Drosophila melanogaster: one gene and its partner. The protein of the gene in region 2 purifies or fractionates together with the protein of the main gene of each other region. This does not show direct contact. Each region holds a gene or a part of one and is shown on either strand. Other genes may lie near its edges.

Region 1 (4,182 bases), 1.8 Mb from region 2:
GACCACATTCGCAAGTAGCAAAGTCAACCTCTAAAACATTGAAGGCAATTGGGACAAAAAAGGATTTAACATTTAACGATGCCACGGGCGAGGAATTGCTGCGCTTTTCCCAATCCCTTGCCCCGAGTCTTTGCGATGACTTCGAGACCTTTGTCATGCAAACGAACGTTACCAAGAAGACACCACAGCCGCTGGTGCCACTGCACATCGCCTGGCACAATCTCATCTGCGCCAATCCCCAACTGCACGAAAGTGTACTCACGTACGAACCCATTGATTTGCAGGCAGTTTACTTGCACCTGAAGCACATGGGGCATCGATACGATCCAAAGGACCTGAAGACCTTCTTCGACCGGCGTTGCATTATCTTTCGCTATGAACTGGGTGCTCCCGGCAAGCAAGCAGAGCGTCATGTGCGAAGGCACACAAAAAAGCCTTCTAAAAGGAAGTAGATTCTACAAGTTATGGAATTTCATTGTACTTATACCTAACTTTGAATGCATTGAATTATTTTCTAGTATTTACCTTATATTGTATTATTGAATAAGATATTGTTACTTGGTATTTTGCGATCTAAATTTATTGTATGTAAAATTGATAAAACTCAAATACATTCAACACTTTTGTTTGAAGCATTGTTAACCATTCCTATTTGCCATTTCAAGCTACCCACTAGCATCTACGATTAAAAAACACAATATTATTTTGGGGGCCGTAGATTTATTTGATGCAACTTCAAAATACAATATTACAAAACTAATGGACGAATACAAATGTATAGAGTTTGTAGTAGATACAAGACACTGATATTTTCATACGAGTAGAATATTGGACAACATTAAATGCAGCATCTGTAGACAGACTACCCTAAATGGGTATTAAATGTAAAAATACAATTCGATCTTACGGCGCTAGAAAAGACACTTGGACGGTATAAATTTCTTACGAGTCTCTACGTGAAAGGCACATTGTCAGATTGCGATTAATGGAATGGAATCGGCTCGAACAAAACTGGTTGCTAATGAAACTATTTGTACTGCATGCAAAACTGATATGGTTGGTGGGTGCAGACGGGTTAGTGGGCTCTTACAGTAGCTAGGATTAGTTTTGGGGGGAGAGAGATATATAAGAAGCAATTCGTAGCATTGCCGGCATGTATAAGTATGTAAATTAAAGGCAGGGCTGTCCAAGAAATCACCAACAATACCCATTGGTTGAATGGGATTAATGGGACACCCCTGAACACCCCAATATTAGGCATAGCTAATCTCATGCTCATACGTCTTTCCCCGCAGATCCTCGTCATCGGGAAGCGCATGGTGGCGCAAACCGCACAAACGCGGTCCGTAGCGCAGCATGACAATGATAACGCCCACGATGAACAGGGCGACGGCGGCCACGGCGGGATAAAGGAAGTAAAGAGCCATTGCTACTTAGATGTCGCTCTCGCGCTTCTGCAACTCCACGTATTCCTCGCGCTGGCGCTGCTGGTGCAAAGTGCGACCCTCTGGACGTGGTGGACGCTGGTGCTGCTGCTGGTGATGATGATGGTGCGCCGAGTGCACGGGCTCCAAGTCGTCAACGCCGATGACAACGTCGTCGGGGAACACTTGCTGATGGGTTGTGGGCTAGAAAAAGTAATAGTTTCCAAACAATAAGCCACGATTTTTCGGGCTCTGGCCAAAAAACCGAATACTCACATGGAAGCGCTGAAAGTATGAGGCGTCCTTCAGCTCAGTGAAATCCAATGGCGGCTGATTGTGGGGCGTGGCAGACCAAATGGAAACCAACCAGCGATTGCCCGTGTGCCTGTCCTGCCAGTACTTGCGATGCTTGGAGCAGCAGCCCAAGATAATGTTCAGTATTATGATCGTGCCCAGGACAACCGTGCAGATGGCAATGGTCACATAAAACGGCGAGAAGTTGCCGTAGATGTGGCCGGTGAAGTAGGGATTCTTTTCGTACGCCTTGCGTTCCTCTTCGATTGTGGACATAGTCTTATAGGGGTGTGGTCACTTGCAAGAGCCTCAATAGCCTGCTGCACAATGCTCAATGGTCTGGAGGGCAGGGGAAGAAGAGTGAGAAAGCGGTTCAACCACCACGCTGCATGCCACTTGCACCCCGAAACCAATTGCCACCGATTCCAATTTGTCACATTGGGCGTGGCGTCACCAAAGTAAACTAACTAGCAGCACCAGCAGCTCCCCACTTAGCAGCTTATATGCGGATTGCACTTACCATTTGCGCGCGATTGGTGGTCACTGAGATTGGCACAAGTCCCATTCAGGTGTGTTACACACTTCTGCTCTTAAATGTTATTAATTTCAGCCACTTTGCTGCTACGAAAACAACGCCCAAAAGCCAGGCTCAGTGTGCTAGTGATGGCACTTTGTGGACTCGCCGCATGGTTGCAAGCGATCGATAACCATTCATCGATCGCAAGTGCAGGTTGTGTAAATTTTTTACTGCATACATTTAGACATTAAGTTATTTGTTAGAATTTAAATATATTAAACAATGTTTATAAACATACAATTTAAAAATTAACGTATGTGCTATTTTTGTAACACCAAATTTACATGTTTTAAAACCCGACACGTAAGATAAACAATATTAATCTATATTTTCAAAATTAATGCGACTCGAAGAAAATATCGTGTTCATTGCGTAAAAACAGGCATATTAAACCACCATTGTAAACATGTTAAATTGCGCGTCTTCGTGCCGCTAGTAACATAATCGCACTTGCTTATCAACTATTACAGGTTTCGAAGCAATCCTAACTCAAAAACAATCCAGCTATTCAATAGCTTCAATAGATTTCCCCGATCACTGGTCGTAGGTGAGGAAGTTATCCAACCCGGTGAACTGGCGTGCCAGAGCCCGACCATCGTCGGTGGGCGTACTGAAGGCAATGCACTCCCTAGCGATCTCTTGACCGAGCACCGTGTGGCACTGGACGACTCGCAGCAGCTTGCTGGCGATCCCGCTGCGTCGCTGCAGCGGAGAAACCCAGATGCGTGAGACGCCGCAGCTGAAAGAAGGCACATTTTAGCCGTTGACAAGGGAAGGGGCATGCAGTAGGGGATGTCTTACCTGGCCGGGTAGCTTTCCTCGCTGAAGTAGTCCGTGCCATCGACCTGGATGAAACGATGGGCCTGCGAGAGGGGCTGCACCAGGCAGAAGCCTACGATCTGCTGCTTGCGCACTGCTATGAAGGCTACAAAGATCTTTGGCACAATGTACGAGGAATAGCCCAGCTCTTTGTCCACCACACCAATGAGATCCCGCAGTCTGTCGAGCCGAGCTGTCGGAGCGCGTTCGTTGATCCGTATGATGCGCCCGTCGCTGGCCCATTCTGGATAAACGGACACAATGTCCTCGTCGATCCAGCCCTTGAAGCGCAGCACATGGATGGAATTGTGGTACTCGCGATGAAGCAGCTCCTCCTCCGGCTCGTGCACGGTGTACACCAATCCGCACTGCTGGCACTGCCGTGCTCCGAAGGCCTTTTGACCAGCATCGATCTGGTACTGATTCGATCCACCCGCCGCCGTTAGCAATCTCATCGATGTATCCGGCCGACGCCGCAACGATTTCTGGACAACGGGCTGTAAGCGTTGAGTGAATATGGGGAAAAGCTTTGGCTGAACTTCCTCTACTGCTGGCGCATCCTGTTTTGGTGCAATGGCCACCGCTGTATTTTCCACTGTTTCCATCTGAGCAAGCTGCGCAGCCTCCTCGCTGTTCACCACCATGTATAAATTGTCCACAATTTGATTGGCCTCGTCCTTGTAGTCATCCGGATTTGCAATAAATATCTCAAAGTTCTTTTCGGTGCAAATATTGTTGCTAATGAGAAACTCTAGTAAAATTTGCTGTTGCTCCACGACATTGGGATCATCGGTTTGGTATGGCAAACGTTGACGGAACTCAGCAAAGGGATCAATTTCCACATCGTTCGCCTCTGGGGCATACTCAATTATATCCGGTAGCGACTCCGTTTCCATGGTCGTCTCCTCCGCATCAATGGGCGTTGCCTGTACCACCGGATTCGCTTCTACAATCTCATCAACCACCGTATCGTCCAGATTCTTTAGGATCGCATCCACAGTCGCCTGCTCGGCGGAAAATATCGTGGCCGACTTGACGCGCACTTGCCGCGGCTTACGGCGTATCGTT
Region 2 (4,762 bases):
AGTTACGAAAATAAATTAATACCAAGTTAGCCAAGGTATTCAGTTACCACCGCAGATCAGCCAAGATGTCGTTCCTACTGAAAGCAGTTACCACAGCCCGTCACATCGTTCATAAGGTTTCCTCGCACTCACATTCCTCTATAATATATCAACTCTTCGAAAAGAGAAGTTGAAGTGACCTTTGTCTTGGCTTTGTTTATCTTTCGATGATAGGTTCCCGTGCGCAACCTGAATCTGCTGGAGTTCCAGAGCAAGGATCTCCTCCAGAAGTATGGAGTGGCCATACAGCAATTCAAGGTCTTGAATAACTCCAAGGCAGATGCCGAGGTCGTCAAGACTTTTGGTAAGTGGAGGACGGAACCATGCCGGTGTTTATGTAATCCCTGGGCTAATTGGTGTTAAATGCTGTGCTTCTGTGTTTCAGAGTGCCCGGAATACGTGGTGAAGGCGCAGATTCTCGCCGGTGGGCGTGGCAAGGGAACTTTCGACAACGGATTCAAAGGCGGCGTCCATATCACCACCAAGTATTATAGATTAGGTCTATTCCGGCTATTCACATTCACATTTTATCTAAAAAATTAATATTATTTATGTTCTACAATATCATTTGTATATAAGATTAATCTTATCATTCTGCCCATATTGAAAATGATAAAAGTTTGTGAAAGCCAGAGTGTACCTTAAAAACACAAGTGATAAGACCAGCTTATACTAATAATTATTTAACATTTTGCCAGCAAGAGCGAGGTGCTTTCGCTTACCCAGCAGATGATTGGAAACCGACTGATAACGAAACAAACGCCCAAATCGGGAATTTTGGTCAACAAGGTCATGGTGGCACGCAGTATCAACATCACCCGCGAGACCTATCTCTGCATCTTGCTGGACCGCGAGCACAATGGACCCGTGCTGATTGCCTCACCTGCCGGTGGCATGGATATCGAGGCGGTGGCCGAGGAAACCCCTGAGAAAATTAAGACTGTTCCGCTAGACATTGGCAAGCCCATACCGGAGTCGACGCTCTTGGAGGTGGCCAAGTTCTTGGAGTTCAAGGGAGACTCTGTAAAGCGTTGTGCTGAGGAAATTCAAAAACTCTATACTCTCTTCAAAGCTGTGGATGCCGTACAGATCGAGATCAACCCGCTGGCGGAGACGGATAAGGGAGAAGTTATCTCCGTTGATGCTAAGCTCAACTTTGACGACAATGCCCAGTTCCGTCAGAAGGATATTTTCTCCATGGACGTCACCGAGGAGGAATCCGATCCCCGAGAAGTGGAGGCGGCCAAGTACAATCTGAACTACGTCGCCATGGATGGCAACATTGGCTGCTTGGTTAATGGTGCCGGCCTGGCCATGGCCACCATGGACATCATCAAGCTGAATGGAGGCGAGCCCGCCAACTTTTTGGACGTCGGCGGTGGCGTCAGGGAGGATCAGGTGGCCAAAGCCTTCGAGATCCTCACTGCTGACCCGAAAGTCAAGGGAATCCTGGTCAATGTCTTTGGCGGCATTGTCAATTGTGCCACCATTGCCAATGGCATTGTGGCTGCATCCAAAAAGCTGCAACTGAATGTTCCACTGGTTGTGCGACTGGAGGGCACCAATGTAAATCAGGCTCGCGAGATCCTGAAGAATTCGGGCCTGCCCATTCAGACAGCCAGTGACTTGGATGATGCCGCCCACAAGGCTGTGGCAGCCCTTAATTAGGGGAACGATTGAGGAGAGCATGTCTTCCAGAATGAAACGACGCTCATTAGCATTTACAACGGTTGGGCCTTTTAAGTATAAGTTTTTATCGACAATATAACCAAAATATGTTATATTCTATATAAAAAGCTTTTTATTTGATTTAAGAAGTACCTTAGCCATCTATCAAAAATTAATTAAATTTAAAATCATTTATTTCTTAATTTAAAAAATGTATAATCTAAATTGTTTAATTTACTGTTTTGAAATTTATTGGTACCGTAGCATTTGGTATTTATTTTGTGGCCCCATGGTATTCTGCGGTATTACCAGTGCGGCCACACTGCAGTCCACACCCAAACAGCAAACCAAACAAACATTTCCCCAGGAAACCAGCGAAATTCCAATAGAATTTCCCACTCAAAGGATGCAAAAACCATCCCACTTCGCACGCGAGGATTCCCAGGAGCACCTGCCCACCAGCCACACGCAAAACAGTCACACAGTGAACATGAAGAGACGCACACTATCCGGAAGTTGTGGCGTTGGCGTCTTCGTGTTCGCCTTTGCCTTCATCGTGATTGCGTTTGCAACGCCCAGTTGGTTGGTCAGTGATTACCGCATCACGGGCGCCAAGCTGGATCGCCTGGGATTGTGGGTGCACTGCTTCCGGTCGCTGCCGGACGTGAACGACGATAGCCAGCGGAGATTCTTCGTGGGCTGCCGTTGGGTGTATGACCCATTTACCACGGGTTACGATGAGATCCGTGGATTCCTGCTGCCCGCCTTCATGATAGCCACTCAGTTCTTCTACACTTTGGCCTTCATCGGGATGTTGGTATCTGCCATCGGAGTACTGGTCTTCATCCTGTGTGCTGGTCCGGATCAAAAGCACTTCATTACGCTCATTAAATCGTTGGGATATGTGCTTCTCGGTGCTGGAGTAAGTGCAGCCATTGCAGTGATTGTATTCGCTGGATTTGGCAACCGGAATGGCTGGATGCCGGAGCATGCGAACAATTGGTTTGGCTGGTCCTTTATCCTGGCGTGTGTGGGTACTGTGTTAACCCTGGTGGCGTCTACTTTGTTCCTCAGTGAAGCCCACGTGCAGCACAAGAAGAGAATTCAGTTCAAGGAATCTCAGACGCGATTTGAGCTGGTGCGCGGATAGTCGATGGTAAGTACTTGACTATATCCAAGTCAGGGTCGGTCGCTTAACCTTCTTGCATTGTCTATTTTAGCCGTGGCAGCTGGCACACTTGCACCAAGGAAAACACAAGCCAACCAAGAGGAAAACAAAACAAAAACATTCCGTCCCCTCAAAGAATTCTCACCCTAAACATTACAGTCGAACTTCTCTAAGGCGAAATATTCTAACTAACAGTTTCTGGTAGTGCACGTTTTTAAAGTTGGTTTATGTTCGTTTTATATTTTATTCAATGGTTTCCCTGTGCATAGGTTAAAGTATTCATGTCGGTAACATTCGTTTTATATTACCTTAAATCGTTTAAATAACTCCCCAACTGGCGGAGATTTCGAAAAATTTTAACGAACCAAAGTTATTTTGGATAAAAATAATTTTCGCCATATATTCATCGCTTCTCTCTAACATACCTAAAGAAATTAATTTTAGTTCAGAGAAGTTCGACTGTACTCGTAGTTTTTAATTTAAAAAGTTTATGCAATTGACGGCCGCACCGATTCACAAGCTTTCAGTTTTTGGTACTTATAATCATCCATCCAATCGACCAGATCAGTTCCAAGAGAAGACTGAATGTTTTTCCGAATGAAAACCAGAACCAAGCACAGCTAACATCAAACGAAGACGCTCAACTAGATGACTCATGTTCATGTAGAGTATTCTACAGTATTTGCATATCAATTTTCGCTCAATTAACGCCCAGACACAAAGAGCATACCCCTCCGCAATTGTACGTTTATTTTTTTCTTTAGCAAAAGTCGCAGGCTAGTCGGAACTAGCATCGAAATATTACACTCGTGCCTTAATTAGATAGAACTATTATGGTGTAGTTCGTAGTGCCTGAAAACAAATTATTGTTATAAACATACCTGAACGACTGACCTGCGACTAACCATAGAGATCATTGAATTGCATAAACTTCAGCTAAGCTAGTGCCTTAATTAAGTGACCCAGAGAAAGGTAAGCGAAACTCCGCCCATTAGTTTTAAGAACAAAACATTCCCTTTTGAACTCGAATATTCCGCACAAGTTACCTTCTTTTAAAGGTAACAATTAGGTCTGTATTAATCATCCGTCCTTTGCACGTATTTGTAACATTTTCTAAACCGAGAATTTAGCAATGTATTAAAGCAATACATACGTCTTTTACCGTCCCATATACAATAATATGTGTAACATTTTTATGTACAAACGACTTTTAGCTAAAGCGAAGAATAATAAAGTTTTTATTGTATACAACAGCTGAATGCATCTTTAGAGCGGGTTCAAGGCAGCTGGGCTCCAAAATGAGATCCGAAACAATGAATCTCCTCGCCAGTCAGCTTGGTGCATTCGACTTAGTTTTCCCATGGCGTTTGCATTTTGGGAAAACCGAACAAACTTTTCGTTGTCAGCTTTTGTTGCCGTTGAGGCAACTGGTCGGATATGCATCAGTTTGTTTGCAGTAACAACTGATATGCCAACCGATTGTGGGCTGCACCATGTGTCAACCCGGCGATTTCGAAGCTGCCTTTTTGTGTTGGGTTATTTGTTAATGATTGATGAAATAAGGTTATCTCAACGCATATCATTGGACTTTATAATGCGTTAAAATTGTAATTGTTCATCATATTTCGTTGTGACCTTTGATACCATAGTCTATTTAGAATAGCATATGAACATATAAGATTTTGATTGTATTGTATTCAACTTTATATCTTTGACAAGGCTACTTTCAAGTCTTAAGTTTTTCGAAATACTTGATTAATGGTGCATGGAGTAAAATATTTATCGTGCGAAGCTTCGGCCTTACGAACGTTCCAAAAACCCACAAAACTATTAGATCATTTTGTCAGCAATATCTGACTCGACTCAGGCACTTAAAAGTCTTTTAAA

The links.
Region 1: the proteins of sinu (region 2) and wrm1 purify together in Drosophila melanogaster (affinity purification with western blotting, with the first as the bait; one study listed by BioGRID). This does not show direct contact.

What each region holds. Positions count from the first base shown.
Region 1 is NT_037436.4:7,332,842-7,337,023, forward strand, and holds wrm1 (wurmchen 1), read right to left. Parts: upstream 2,386-4,182; 5' UTR 2,239-2,385; intron 2,058-2,238; 5' UTR 1,995-2,057; coding exon 1,701-1,994; intron 1,629-1,700; coding exon 1,434-1,628; 3' UTR 1,428-1,433; coding exon of another isoform or gene 1,254-1,427; 3' UTR 703-1,253; downstream 1-702. Other genes in the region: mus312 (mutagen-sensitive 312), read left to right, coding at 1-452; wrm2 (wurmchen 2), read right to left, coding at 1,254-1,427; eco (establishment of cohesion), read right to left, coding at 2,830-3,034, 3,097-4,182.
Region 2 is NT_037436.4:5,558,847-5,563,608, reverse strand, and holds sinu (sinuous), read left to right. Parts: upstream 1-2,010; 5' UTR 2,011-2,113; coding exon 2,114-2,857; 3' UTR 2,858-2,863; intron 2,864-2,927; 3' UTR 2,928-4,139; downstream 4,140-4,762. Other genes in the region: ScsbetaG (Succinyl-coenzyme A synthetase beta subunit, GDP-forming), read left to right, coding at 66-116, 214-343, 425-524, 738-1,707.